2 linked regions of the Alligator mississippiensis genome follow. The protein of the gene in region 1 interacts with the protein of each later gene in a pairwise test. Links are inferred from orthologs where the notes say so. Each region holds a gene or a part of one and is shown on either strand. Other genes may lie near its edges.

Region 1 (7,504 bases):
GCTAAGCAGTGTTATATGCGTAGCAAAGAATTTTAAAATAAAATTGTGTTGTATGAATTAAGTGTGTAATCATTGTGAAATCGTGCAATCAACTAACTACTCCCCCAGCCAGCGCATCAAACGAATCAGTAAGTTGTGTGGGATTTTCTCTATTCCATAACCCACTATAGACAATTTGGTGCAGCATGTGTAAAAGTTTCATCAGCAGGGAGGTAATAATTCTTTTCTGGTGAAATATTAAATGTTCTTTTTCACATGTAATTCCATTCTGAGCACTGAGTTCTAGAAAGGTATTTTAAAAACCCTACACACATCTGCACACCTGGAGATAATTCAAGCAAAAATAACAACAACAAAAAATAAGAAACTGGAGTTACAGATTTATGAAACCTCAGAATGTTACAAGATCACATCCTATGTAGGTTCATGAAAACTTTTAGCAAATACATCAAGGATGTAAACAACAAGAATGGAAAGGAATAATTTAGAGAGATACTATCATAACTTGAAGTAACAGGAGTTTAAATTTAGAAGATGAATATTTCTGATTTTGAGATCTACTAGCTTGATCGTACTTAGAACTAGACTAGAAAAGCAACTAGAAAAAAAAATAAAAGTGATCAGTCCTATGTTAAGCAAGGGATGGGCTGGCTATCTTGCTACTGCAAGCCTTTCCCTCCCTTAAACTCTATGAGCTCCTATACACGTGCAGGGAGCCTGCTCCAACATGCTGTAACTCCAGTGCATCGGTGCAGATTGGATTAATTGAGTCTGCTGGAGCAGGGACATTAATGCACTCTAGCAGTGTCACGTGCATCAGCATCCCCATACTGAAACATGGCAGCTGGGCACTTTGAACTAAAGCTTATTCAACAAGCTTTAGTTCAAAGAGCCTCACTGCTATTTTTCAGCACAGGGAAATTGATACGGGTGATGCTCTGGGTGCTTTTTAAAGCACCCCCATGCCTCCTGGAGCACATGCATCAATGCCCTATGTATCTCATTATATTTGAATCCCTCCCTCTTGGCTTTCTATTTAACAACTGTCATTGCAACAGCTTCTCTTCAGCCACAGGGGAGGATGCAAATCTTCGTAATATGAGATTGGGATCAATTCTGGGCCCTGTACCAGCTAGTAACAGGCATCAGAGGTGATAATTATCTTCCCTGAGCCTAAAATCATGCCACCTTTGCTATACAGCAAGACCTTGATAATTTGCATTAACAACCAGGAGACAATTGTAAATAAATTAAATATTGTAAATTAATATGTAAAAGCAAGACTACATTACTCAACAAATAACTTTCATTTGACAGTTTTGGCTTAGTTTTAATTACCTTAAAATTCATGAACTAGTTACAAATAACTACTTTGGTAGAGTTTATAAGTAACCGATGTTGTAACCTACGGCCATTCTATAGCCCTCTGCTATTAATTCTATACTGGAAAGTGTGGAGAAATAGCGGTCGCAACAATTTTTCACAATAAGGATCAGCAGGCTTCTGCTGCACCTTATCTCCACTAATTCCCATGTCCCCAGGCCCAGATCCCAAAGTCAGTACAGATCTGGATGACTAGGGTAGAAACACTTTAATAGTCTTCTGGAATTGCAATGGTTCTAAAAGAAACCCTCAGCATACATGCCCCTTTTACTTTCCCCTCTTCCCCACATTGATAAGACATTGCCCCAAAACCTCAGCCCATAGCAGATTGATTGAGTTTCAATTTGTTTTAGGAACATTACCTAATGAATTCACATGGGTGTGAGAAAGTAGATAAGAAAGCATTTCTCCTATTACACAGATTGGGAAACTCAAATAATAATATTAGCTGCTTGAATCAATACACCATTTTAAAATCTGAACTTTTTAAGAGAATGAAGAAAACTGTTTTTATGTGGTTAACTGTTCTTTGTGTCATGGAGTACCACCAATACACTACTCCAAAGAATTCATTACTGACCTTCCCAACTCATGAGTTTATAGGGTAAAGGCCTTCTTTCATTGTCCACAGTAATTCAACAAATCCAGTTCCTACCCTCTGAAACAGCTCACCAATCTTTTCCACACCACAGCTATTACTATCCTTATACAAAATATTTTTCCTAGTACCATTACTTCTTAATGTCTTTCTTGATTTTTATAGCAAGTGTGGTGACTTGAGCACTGTATAAAGACCCCTGTGGAAGGAAGCCTTCTATTCCCAGGGCAACTAATGACAGTGCAAGAATCCTTATGCTCCCCTGCCATTGTGCTTCACAGGAGGCTAGGACTGAGCATCTTCAGAGCAGTGAATAATTTGGTTGCTACAAGCCAAAGCCTCTAACTCAACGGATCCCAAACTGTGGGCTGCCGGGTTTAACTTATGGGAGAGCCCGGGAGAAGGCCTGAGCCCCCTGCCCCCCATAAGAGACAAGAGCCCCCCTGTAAGATTTGAAAATCATAACCTGAGGGGGTCTCAGATTTTATTAAGGCATTGTGATGGGCAGCTCCATTTTTTTTGCAGACTCAAAGTGCATTTTGAACCCTGGGGGACTCCAGCCCCAAATGGGGTCACAACATCAGCAGATGGGGCAGCAGGGCTGGGGGGCCATGGGTTGGGAGTGGGGGCCATGCTGAGGAAAAGTTTGGGAACCACTGCTCTAGCTGCTGTGCTGGCACTTCACAGCTGCAGCCTTTCCTTCTGATATGCGTATTAAGAAACTGAGGGAGACCATCAGTACTTACAGGCCTTAATTCTCTTAACTGGGGGTGGGTGGGAGTAACTTGTAGGCAAGGCACCGCAAGCTGCAAAGTGGTCTTGTATAACAGGTGCCTTTACTGAGCGCAGGGCACGAGCAGAAGTTCCCTGTTGCCCGGTGCCCACACCCGTCCCATGGGCACAGCGGGTGAGCGAGCCCTTCCTGCAGCTCCTGAGAGCAAGTGCCATCAGAGGGCGAGCCCCCCTCCCCGCCAGCTGCCCGGCGAGCCCGTTACCTGCGTCCTCCTCCCGCGGCTCGTGCCAGGCGCCCCGAGGGAGACGCTGCTCCGCGTGTGCAAGCAGCCCTGGGCGCCCGCAGGCTCGGGCAGCGGCAGGCCGAGGAGGGCGCGACGCAGCCCGCCAGGGCACGCAAGGACGAGCAGGAGCAGGAGCAGGAAAGGAGGGCCCAGGCCGAGCGAGGAGGCGGAGCTGGAGCTGCAGCGGCCGGCCAGGAATCCGGTCAGCTGGTCGCGCCTGCTGGGGAGCCGGGAAGCAGTTGGGGCTAGTCTGTCGCTCGCCCGGGGGCGGGAGGCAGAGCCGTGGTACTCCTTGGAGATGGATCCGGGGAAGGAGCTGGAGCTGGAGCTGGCGGGCTTTGCATCTCCCTGGGAGCGGGAGGGCCAAGCGCCTGCGAGGTGTTTTGAGGCACTTGGTGAGAAGGTTACGGGCGCGGAGATCGTAGGAAGTCTGCGGCGTCGCGCTTGGAAGGCGCGGATCTCTGCCGCGCGCCGGGGCTGGAAAATGAGGGGGAAATATTCACTGATCGTTTACTGAACAGCTCCGGGGGGGTCAGCAAGTAAACCATTTGCGGATCCTTCCTGCTGTTATAGAGGCTGGTTTTGTGTCCCAGAGGTGTAGGCGATGCGGTGCTGGGGGAGGAGAGGGGTCGGGTAAAATGCCTTTGGTTTTCAGTGCTTTGGGGACAGTGCCCGGTGGCAGCAGAGGCTGTTTGGCGGGGGAGGCACGGGGGGACTCGCGGGGTATGTAGCCAGTGGGAAAAGGTTTGTAAATTGACTCCCTGCAGGGCTGTGTAATCAATCGTCTTCCAGGCCTCTGACACTTGCTGGGAATAATTTGGATGTGTCTGTTTCACTGCTGAAGTTTTGTCTTTAATGATGCTGTGTTTGTGTTTCTAATAACAGACGTCTCTCCGTGTAACTCCCTGCACTTTGCCTGCTGCTTTATTTTAAATGTTTTAATGATTCTGTCCACGTGGCGCAGCCTCACTGCACAAATGCCCTTTTTGCTGTTGTGGCACCCACTGAGGAATACAAGATCTGATCCGTGACAGGGCCTTCATCTGATGAAGTGCTACAATGAGTCCATCCTGATCCCATGTCTGTTATCCGTATCAAAGTGAACAGTACAGAACATACTCTCTATTCCTAGAACAAAATTAAGAGATGCTCTGGTAGCTTTTTTTTTTCAACAAGCCACTGGGGTATTTATTGAGCAGTGTTGTCCCTGAGCAAAAACAAGGGAATAAATGCAAATGTTAACAAAACATTAATGCTGAGATGTTAATTATGTGAAGGTCAGCACGTTCAAATTTTATTATTTTAGAGGAGCTATTCTATATTCCTGCCACAATCATTACTCCACTTTTATAACATGAATAAGTTCAAGTTACTATTTGTTTTCTGATAAGTACAAGGGAATCAAGTTACATTTGCAGCAGGAACACGTTTGAATTTCCATATTTTTGTGCAATTTAAATCTCAATCTTTACCACTGTGTTAGCATCTTTTGCATGATTCTCTACATGTTTGCATATTGTCTCATTACAATTAAAGGTCTGACAGAGGTTTATTCTAAGCAGTTAAAAGCTACAGTTTCTTTTGTCCATAAAATATCTCTTCAGTCAACATAACTTGTTGATGAAATAGTATAAGATGGAAGGTTTAGCAAAACAATTTATTGGAACTAAACCATAGCTCAATGAATTATCCCTTAAACAACAACATTTTATTGGGTTTTGGCTTCTGATATACCAAATTCTCATTTTTGTAACAGCAAAATACATCTGGAGAGGTTTGACAAATCATTCTCAGAAAGGCCAAAGTGTGCTTTGGCACAACTTCATCCGCTTCAAAATGCCTCTTATCTTCAAATGTTCTTCTGTTTGTAAAGGATAAGTCCCTCTGGCACAGAAACGGGCTGGGAGAGTAAGATTAGACAAATTGTGTTTCTGATGTCCTTTCTGTGGTGGCTTGCTTCCCCTTCTTGGGCCCCTTGGTAGTCTAACACTCACCTCTTAATTCCTTTCATACCTTCACCAGTGATACAAAATCTTTCTCCTTTGCAACTTTTTGTTGCTACCTCAAACAGCTTTCCTTCATGTGTGTTGTATTTCACCGTTACTGTGGCATTTTATTCTTACCTGAAAATATATTTTACCTTGCCCTTACATTTATTTTTCCACAGTTATTGATTAAACTTTGTGATTAAACATTAATTCTGTGAAACATTTCTGGAATATACAAAATTAAGCTGTACTGTAATCTCAGTTACTTCCATAGCATCCATTACCATAGTTTCTGACCGCCTCACAATCTTCAGTCTATTTATCCTAACAGTTCCCCTATGACACAGAAAAGTATAATAATTAGAAGAGTGAAATTTCACTTTATATAGATTCTATCCCTGAAGAGATTATTCAGAAAAATAAGGAGAAGAAAATTTGTGTTGATTCTCTCTCCTCCACCCCCACAATTTACTAGAGTTCGTTTACCTCCTAATTTGCATCATTATTATTAATAGGGAACCCTGTCAACAGTGAACAGCAAACAGTAGTTTGCCTGCAGTTGCTGTGTCTAATTTGTGGTCACTGTGTTTAACTAGAGCCTCTTTTGTAGTGACTGTCTGACTGGGTATGTATTTGCAAATTTGCATGGTCTGCTTTGTTTCAGGTGGGCCTTGTCTAGTTAATTGAGGTATGAACCAGGCAGGCTCAGGCCTGGCAGTCTTATAAAAGACAGCTTTTCCAGCAGACTGAGCAGTGAACTGAGGGAGCTTGTTTGAGGAAGAAGGGCTGAGCCCAGGAGAAGTGAAAAGTTCTAAAGCACAGTCTAAGCATTTTCCACAGCAGTTGTTACCTATTTGGCAGGGCTTTTCAACCTCTTTTAATAAGTGTACCCCCGGCAGCTGGACACAGAGCAGGGAGGGGGTGTGACGCATGGCCAAACACAGAGTGGCAGCAGTGCAGGATGGTGGTGGTGGCGGCAGCCGCTATGTGCAAGCTTCCCCCTCCACCTATTCTGTGTCTGGCCAGCCGGGTGGCGCCTATGCAGCCCACAGAGGGGCACCGTTGCCCTTGCCCGGCCCCAGCCCTGCTCCTGGGAGGCAGCGGCATTGGGTGGTGGCACTCCATCCCCACCTGCCCACACATACCCCCTAGGGGCTTCCCAAGCACTCCCAGGGGTATGCGTACCCCTGATTGACAACCCCTGCTATATGGGATGTGCTATGTTTGTGTTCCTCCTAGAGGGTCAAAGTGACTTCCTGTGCACCAAATGCCAGCTGGTGTCCACCATGGAGGAAAAGGTTGAAGGGTGGGAAGTACAAGTATCAATGTTATGCAGTTTCAGAGAGAAAAACTTCCTTGATAAGTCATGAGAAAACTTGAGAGACAATGATCATCACATGACAGAATTCATGACTCTAAGGCAGGGGTGGGCTGCTTAATGAGTTTGGGCAAGCTGTCAAGGGCTACAAGGGTAGCCCCTTGGCAGGTGCCCTGCCCCCTAGTCACCATCTTGGGACTGGAAGTCCTACCCCTGACCTTTGCCACTGGAAGTTGCTCCCCTTATTCCTGAAAGTACTCCTTTTGGGAGTAGGGAGCACTGCCATCTTGGAACCAGAAAAAAAATGAATCATATACAAAAAGTAGGGTGACCACCTTTTTTAAATGTAAAGGTGGGAAACATGCCTGCCTCCCACCCCCCACTGGTGGTGCAGCTGGAGCCAAGCCGAACAGGGCAGAGGTGGATGTGGGCTGCCCGCTGCAGGCTCAGGACTCCCCACCCTGCTGCCTTTCTCCTAGGAGTCCCTTGTTGGCTGTGTCCCTCCTGTGCCTCCCTGCCTCCCCTGCAGCAGTGGGCGCCAAAACTCCACACTGCCAATGCCTCCAGTGCTGCCAGGTGGGCAAGCAGCACATCACCATGGCTATGCACAGCCCCTGGGCACAGGCTTCATGCTCCTGCCAGCCCCATGCTCCCTGCCCCATTCAGCTGCATCTTCCCCCTGCTCCTGCTGCAGCTTTTCCTCCTCCTGCTCCCCTACTTGCTGCCTGGAAGAACCACTGGATGCCAGGGAAGCTGAGCAGGACCCCAGTGGCTGCAGCAGGGGCAGAAGCAGCCCTGCCCAGAAGTGCTGGCCAGGCCGGGGCCCTTCCTTACACAAGGGTGGGAGTGAGGTGAATGGGCTGGGCAGGGAATAATTAATTGGAGGATGCCTGTGGGCTGGATGGAATCACCATATATTGCTTGCCCTCGCTCTAAGGGGAAATATAAGATCAGCAGGATACCAGATCTCCAGAAGGCTGATTTCAACCAACTCAAGGAGATAGTAGGTTAGATCCCGTAGGAGGACAATATGAATGATAAAAGGGTCTAGGAGGGCTGACAATTTCTAAAGGGCATAGTATTAGAAGCTTAACAAGAAGCTATTGCTATGCAATGGCAGGAAGGATGGCAGGAGATTGATGTGGCTGCACAAGGAGCTTCTTGGATGCCTCAAAATCAAAATGTACAGATAATGGAAGGA
Region 2 (7,456 bases), on another chromosome or scaffold:
AGAACCTGGGGCCCACTTGTGTCCGCACGGGGAGGCCGTGCTTCACTTTCACTGCGGGAACAGATCCTGTTGCCCTGCTCGTCCTTCCCGGAGCACAGGGCAGCCCTGCTTCCCGCCCAAGCCCTGTGCCCTCTTAGGGCAGACGAAGTACCTTGCTGCGGACGTTTAAGGCCAGACACTGCACGAGGAGGGGGGGTCCATCATGGCCTCCGTTGTCCAGGTGTTGTTCCAGATCGACTCGGAGGTGTGAGAGCCCAGGATGCAACTGGACTACCCCATACGGCCGGCTGTGCTGGTGCAAGCTCTCTACCCAGGTGCTTCTCTTCTGCTCCTGCTGCCCCAGCCTGCTCCATTCTCCAAGGCACGGTGTCCCCGTCCCCCGCACTAGATGCACACCCACAGACCTTTTGCGGTTATGAATCTTCAAGCCAAGACGAGCAAAGAGACCAGACAGGACCTGCAGGTTGGAGAGGTATTCGGGATATGATATTTGGATGTGCAATGCAATAAGCAGTAAGCAGAAGGCACTGTGGATTGGGTCTGCAATGCAGTCCATGTCCCAAGAACGTGGCAGATAAAGCCTGGATTTTCTCCTTAGAGACTATTTATACTTGCCTGTGTATTTGAGGAGAAAGGAGCATGTGGCACAGGTCTTAAAGAGGGTGAGCAAGCGGTGTGCTAGCCGCAGTGGCGCTCTCGGGTCGGTAGAGAGCAGCCTTAGCCCATCTCCACAGCTGCAGCATCCCGGGAAGGACGGATGCGACTTGGCTTCGTGCTTAACGGGGAAGCGGGTGATCAGAGCTGATGGGCTCAGGTCTGCCGGAGGCTGGTGTTAATGCTGATGTCTGGCCCAGGCCAAGGGCTCAGCTGTCCCTGCAACAGAGCCGGCTCCTCCTGTGTCTCCCCCAGGAGACCCCCTTTCCAGACTGTGGGGCGATGTGCCCCAGTGACAGACATCAAACCGGGCCTTGGGGGACCTGGGGCTGTATTCCCGTCTCTGTCGTTGCCCTGTGGTCAGATCTTGGCCAATGCTCCTCCATCGCTGTGCCTCAGTTTCTCTTGCCACCCTTTGCTGGTGTCAGTTGTAAGGTCCAGGCGCTGAAATCATGCAGCCTTCCTCTTGCCCAGCTAAAGGAGATGGCTCCTTGCCCTTTCACGTGCAGCAAGGGAGACCTGGAGTAGATGCTGGGGAAAGTTTTTTTCCAGCCAGGGGGTTAAGCACTGAACCAGGCGGTTGAGGAATCCTGGCTGGAGGCTTTTAGGAAGACCGAGGTGGTGTCGTATGTGAGGGGAGCTAAAAAGCAGGGGAAACCCAGCGTGGACCACACTGCAGCACTCGGGGGAAGTCTTGCAAGGGAAAGGAGCAGTCTTGTGAGTCTGGGGGCTTGGCTACAGTCTGCTCTGCAACAGCAAGCAGAAAGAGCTCTGCCTTCCCCGAGACGCGTCCTTGGAAGAGGCAGGCAGCGGGGGCCCTCCTGCAGGACCCCTGTCTTCTGCTGAGACCAAGCAAAGCCACCACGGGGTTTCTCCTGAAAACGACTGCTGCTTTCCCCGCTGCTGGGCTGAGATTAGCCATACGGTAACGGGGGCTTGGTGCTTGTGGGGTTTGCTCTGAGAACAGGCTTTGCAGCAGCGTTGTGCATCCCAAACCTGAGCTCCAGGGCTGGTGTTTTGTTCTTGGGAAGCTTTGGGGCACCATGAGAAGCATCTGTAGCTGGATGCTGTCGCCTGTCTTTCCAGGATGGGCGGTCACGTCAGCTCCCCTCTGGCCAGGAGCCTTGGGATCATGCGTAACAAAAGCTTTGTTCTCACCAGGCCTGGTGCTGGCACTCAGACCCCATTAAAATGGGACTAAGCGATATGGACTGGTGGTACTAGAGGAAGACAGAAGAGGATGACAGGAAAGAAACGGCAGGCCTCTTCTGGTGGAGGGGGTCTTGCATAGACTTTTTCAGGAGCAGGTCTTTTGAGGAGGGCAGCAGGTAAGGGTACGGGTATGGAGATGGGTGCACGGATATGTGGTGTGAACTATGGAGCAGGTTTTTAGTGTGCTTTGAGCTGCCAAGTGAACCACAGGGGCCACTGGGTAGTGTTGGAGATGGAGTTTTATCCCTATCCCTATCTATTGATATCGATCGATATCAATATCGATCGATATCGATAGATAGATATCAATAGATAGATATTTATATATACAGAAATAAATATTTTTTGCAAAAAAAGAAAAGAAAAACTAGGTCTGGTGCTGGCCAGTTCCTTTCCATAATACATGTGGCACCAACCCCATGCCCAGTGCTCTGATTTCAGCACATATTTTGCTGCTGACGGCAAATGAAGCTCTCTGGAGGGCTGATTCTCCTCCACACGCGTGATGCTGGCATGCAGTGCGCAGGGAGCATGGCATGTTTTCACATTCAGGGGATGAAGAATAGTTAGTGCCTGGGAGCTCAGGCAGGGCTGTTTCTGCAGGCAATGGTTGATGTCTGGGCACATTCCCGGGTACATCAGGGGACATTGCCATGTTCTGTTTCTGTACAGCCGAGGAGGCTTCTCACCCTGCTTGCAGAGAGGATGCTGATCTCAGGAGGATGGACCGCCCAGGACTCGGAGGAAAGGGATGCTGCCAGTGTTGGATGAAGATCGGCACTGCAGGGAGTCGGAGATGGTGACAGGTGCAGGGGCAGACCCGGCGGGTGCAGGACGTGAGTGACTGGAACGTGGTACAACTGGGGACAGCAGAGCAGACGCAGGTTTGATCTGGCCTCTGTATTCGCTGCAGTGGGGTTGCACGACAAAACCAGGACGAAAGCAATCCGGGAGACTCCCCTTCTGCATGGGGCTGAAGTCTTCTAAGCACCTGCCGAGGGCAGACGGCCGTAGCTACCTCGTAGCAGGGGTGATGGTCACCCAGATGGGCTGGGCCAACTCAGCTGGAGGCCCTCCTACTGGTGCCGGTTAGCAGAGAGAGAGAACCAGTCCACAGCACAGACAGCCGTTGCACCATCCCGGCTCTCCTGGGGACGGCAGACCATGCCATGACCCACCGTCCCACCCGCCTGGACTGTGGGACCGCTCTGGGGGCCCAGAAGGAAAGCTGTTTGGGCTGCGCGCAGCGTAGTGGGCACTAGATGGATGGCGTGTGTGGCAGGAGGGGAGAGAAATCCCAGGGCACAAGGGAAGGTGGTATTATGCGGAGCTGCTGAATTACTGAAAATTCAAATTTTTGCTGAGTCGGCCCCATTTATCACTGCAGCGTGTGGATAAGAATACAGGCCCACAGGAAGCGTTTGGGAAGCCAGGCGTGCAAATTCTGCAGAGTCCGCCCCCGCCTCTGCCGCTCACGTATTGCAGCCAAAGTCACTTGACCATAATGAGCTCTCTCTGTCAAAGCAGAAGTTTTTGGAAGTGATTTCCCCCCACCCTTTATTTTTTTTGTGTGTGACAAAAGTAGTAAATCAGGATGAAACTCATCATTGCCCTGTGCTAGGCATCAATTACTGCTCCATGCAAGCAAATGAAGCCATCACCTCCAAGCCCACTGAAGCGTGGGGCTCGCATGGTTTTGCCGCTCGTCTGGCGGAGACAGACATTCGTCTGGGCCGAGATCTCTAGGAGGCGGTTGGACGCCGCTTTCACGCTAGAACAGCTAATCCTGTGTTTGCCTGCAATCAGCGCACTTCCAGTCCGATACAAACCTTTCTGCTTCGGAAATAATAATACACTGGACATTTTTCTGCAGCGCTTTCTGCCCCAGGAGGTCCCCGAACGCCTGCTCGGTTCACGAGCAGAGCGTGCGTTGCACCAACAGGCACCTGCCTGTCGCTGAAGGCCGTGGGGAGAGGAGAAGGTTAGACTAAAATATTGGGGCAATCTGTGTTGCAGGAAATAGCAGGCGGTCTCTTTTAGTATCCAACAGAGATGCCCTGGAAGACCGGCCGGACCCCCTGGGCCGGTACTCTGTGATTTAAATGAAACACCACTGCTCTATCTATGAATATGTGTCTCTCTATATAGTATAGATCTAGAGCTACTGTATGCAGAGTAGATACATAGAGTAGATGTTGAGTTACAGAGCTGCTGAATTACTGAAAATTCAAATTTTTGCTGAGTTGGCCCCACTGTATGTAGATCTAGATCTCTAATCTCGATATAGCTCTGCATATATTAGATCTATAGATGTCCACACACACGTGTCTATACACACAGACACGTGCGCGCGCACACACACGTGCGTCCACGCTCTACTCCTGTTGTTGCCCCCGAAGCGCCCCGCGCCGCTCCGGATTGGCTGGCCGCAGCCTCGCCCTGCGTTCCCATTGGCTGATCCCGTGACCTCCGCGCCTTCCGCCCTTCCTGCCCCGTCCGCTCAGAGCCCCGCCCCTGCTGGGCCGCTATTGGCCGCGGGGTCGGACGGTGGCCGGGCGGGGCGTTGCGGCGTCGGTTGCCGTGGCGACCGCGGGACTCGGCGCGGCCCGGCCATGAGGCGCGAGGAGCGGGACGTCCAGCGCTTCCTGCGCCGCGTGGATGACGTCAGTAAGCACCCCCGGGCCCGATCCTGCGCCCCCCCCGGTGCCCCCCGGTGCGCCCCGCTCCCGCTGCAGCCGGCGCCTTGTTCTCTTTGCCGTTTGCAGCCCGTCTGGTTCAAGGCTTGAGCTCGGCGGACCCGGCCGCCCGCCACAAGGCCCTGGCCGAGTCGGAGGCGCGCCTGCAAGCCGGCGGGGTGGGGGACGCGGAGGAGGAGGAGTGCGTCACGCGGTGGGACCGCACACGCATCAGCTCCCCCCGTGAGGTCAGAAGGGGAAGGGGTGAGGGGGGTGCATGTCTTGTCCTGCACGGCTGCGTCCCCTGGGCGCGCTCTGGGCCCGGGGAAGTTTGCTTCTGGCGATGAGGTCGGCGAGGCGCGACCCCGGTGTGCTCCTCAGTGCAAAGTCACGGGTATCGGAGGGCTTGGCTGTATATCACAGCTTTGTCGGCGTGTTTCGGGGGACTGCTGGTTCTGTGCACGTACGTACGGTGGTCCGTGGGTTTCTTGTATAACCTGGTCTGCATTTTACCCTTCTGGATACTCATCACCGCGTCTAACAAGGAGGCGTTGGCGTACTCTAGACACGGTCGGACGGAGGGTGGCGACTGTTGAATTTCCGATGGACCTCGATCGGAGATTGCAAGCTTTCGGTCCAAACGATGAAGGTGTCATCCATGTATCTTCGGTGTAGCAAGGGGCCGATGGGGCCGTGCTTGAGGAAGTCGTCTTCCAGGTGGCTCGTAAACCGGTTGGCGTACTGCGGGGCCGTTGCAGTGCCCGTAGCTGTTCCCGTCGTTATAACGCAAACGTTATCATTAATAACCATCCATATTTCGTGGCAATTCAACAGTTAAAGGGCGTGTTTGGATTATAGTAAGCGATTATAAGGCAAACGTTATAATTAATAAACAATATTTCGTGGCACTTCAACAATTAAAAGTGTTTGGATTATAGTAAGCAATTATAAGGCAAACATTATAATTAATAATCACCAATATTTCGTGGCACTTCAACAGTTAAAAGGCGTGTTTGGATTACAGTAAGCAATTATAAAGCAAACGTTATAATTAATAACCATCGATATTTCGTGGCAGTTCAACAGTTAAAGGGCGTGTTTGGATTATAGTAAGCGATTATAACACAAACGTTATAATTAATAACCATTGATATTTCGTGGCACTTCAACAGTTAAAAGGCATGTTTGGATTATAGTAAGCGATTATAACAGAAACGTTATAATTAATAACCAATATTTCATGGCACTTCAACAATTAAAAGTGTTTGGATTATAGTAAGCAATTATAAGGCAAACGTTATAATTAATAATCACCAATATTTCGTGGCAGTTCAACAGTTAAAGGGCGTGTTTGGATTATAGTAAGCGATTATAACACAAACGTTATCATTAATAACCAATATTTCGTGGCACTTCAACAGTTAAAAGGCGTGTTTGGATTATAGTAAGCAATTATAAGGCAAACATTATAATTAATAACCATCGATATTTCGTGGCACTTCAGCAGTTAAAGGGCGTGTTTGATTGTGCCGCCTGCCCGAGTTCTTCGTGGCCGCCGTGGAAAGCGGCAGGCTGCAGCCGGACGTGGGGCATGCGACGAGTCTGGCAGAAACTCGTAGCCAAATTGATTTTTTGAAAGAGGCAGCCTGAGCATTGACTTGTTTGTTTTCTCTGTTTCTGTGGTTTTAAATGTTCCTGATGGGATGAGTTCTGACAGGTTTAAAAACGCTGCTCATGCTTTGAGAGACACGTTGTTACAGAACTGCGTTTTGAGTTACTTTCAGAAATACGCGTGATGCACACACCTGTACTTCAGAGAAACGTGGTTTCTTTCCAGTTCAAAACTTCCTTTGTTTTGTGCGTGTGTTTGGGTGCGATTGTCACGCGTTCCTTTTTTTTTCAGGACACCCACAATGTGAAGACAGAAAACCCAGGTAGGATGGCATTCTCCTCTTCAGTCATTAACCCGCTATGAGTTTTTTGTATGGAGAAAACTCATTGCTGCTATCTCATGCCAGGCCCGGTCCTACTCCCACAAAAGTCAGTAGGAATTTTTTTACTTAATGGGGGCTGGATCAAACCTGCAATTGCTTATATTAAAGAGTCCTATACGCTTGGCTGCATTATGCATAGCAAGGAAGTTTTTCTAGGTGTTCCCCAGCTCTCACCAAAGAGCTTCATTATTCTGAATTAAAAAACAGGCCCATCTCCTAGAGATGAGCTACTTAAAAAGCCAGGTATGCAAATCCTGAGCAGTATTACAGCCTTTATGTGTAATAGCCACCCACATGGTCAGGGGCAGCCAGGCAGGCCCTACGAGGAGAGGCTACAGGACCTGAACCTGTTCAGCCTCCACAAGAGAAGGCTGAGGGGGGATCTGGTGGCAGTCTACAGACTAGTCAGGGGGGACCAGCAGGCACTGGGGGAGTCCCTGTTCCCCCGAGCACTACCAGGAGTGACTAGTAACAACGGACACAAGCTGGCAGAGAGTAGTTTCAGGCTAGACATCAGGAGGCGCTGCTTCACTGTCAAGGCGGCTAGGACCTGGAACCAACTTCCAAGAGAAGTGGTGCTGGCTCCTACCTGGGGGTCTTTAAAAGGAGGCTGGACGAACATCTGGCCGGGGTCATTTGACCCTAGTACTCTTTCCTGCCCATGGCAGGGGGTCAGACTAGATGATCTCCTCAGGTCCCTTCTGACCTGACCAACTATGAACTATGAAACCTATGTTCCATTTAATATCAGAGTAATGAAATGTCCCCTTAAGATTTTCTTCATGGAGAAATTGTAGCTCAGAAGTGACTTTTATCTCATCATTGGTTTGCTTTTTTAATGAGGAAATCTCTCTCTCTTTTTTATTTTTTAACTGAAATACCATCCTAACTTCCCTGCTCAAAGGTGATTTTTTGGCAGCC

The links. The genes of interacting proteins can lie anywhere in the genome.
Region 2: the proteins of MIPOL1 (region 1) and TTC12 interact in binary tests that used the Homo sapiens proteins (3 or more experiments, as listed by UniProt). The two-hybrid records come from large-scale screens. The link is inferred for Alligator mississippiensis from reciprocal best matches to the Homo sapiens genes MIPOL1 and TTC12.

Annotation. Positions count from the first base shown.
Region 1 is NC_081825.1:258,444,618-258,452,121, reverse strand, and holds the start of MIPOL1 (mirror-image polydactyly gene 1 protein), read right to left. Parts: upstream 3,067-7,504; 5' UTR 2,977-3,066; intron 1-2,976.
Region 2 is NC_081839.1:32,582,518-32,589,973, forward strand, and holds the start of TTC12 (tetratricopeptide repeat protein 12), read left to right. Parts: upstream 1-4,430; 5' UTR 4,431-4,478; coding exon 4,479-4,533; intron 4,534-4,631; coding exon 4,632-4,789; intron 4,790-4,848; exon of another isoform or gene 4,849-4,884; coding exon of another isoform or gene 4,885-5,004; intron 5,005-6,444; coding exon 6,445-6,475; intron 6,476-7,439; coding exon 7,440-7,456. UniProt on the Homo sapiens protein: Cytoplasmic protein that plays a role in the proper assembly of dynein arm complexes in motile cilia in both respiratory cells and sperm flagella.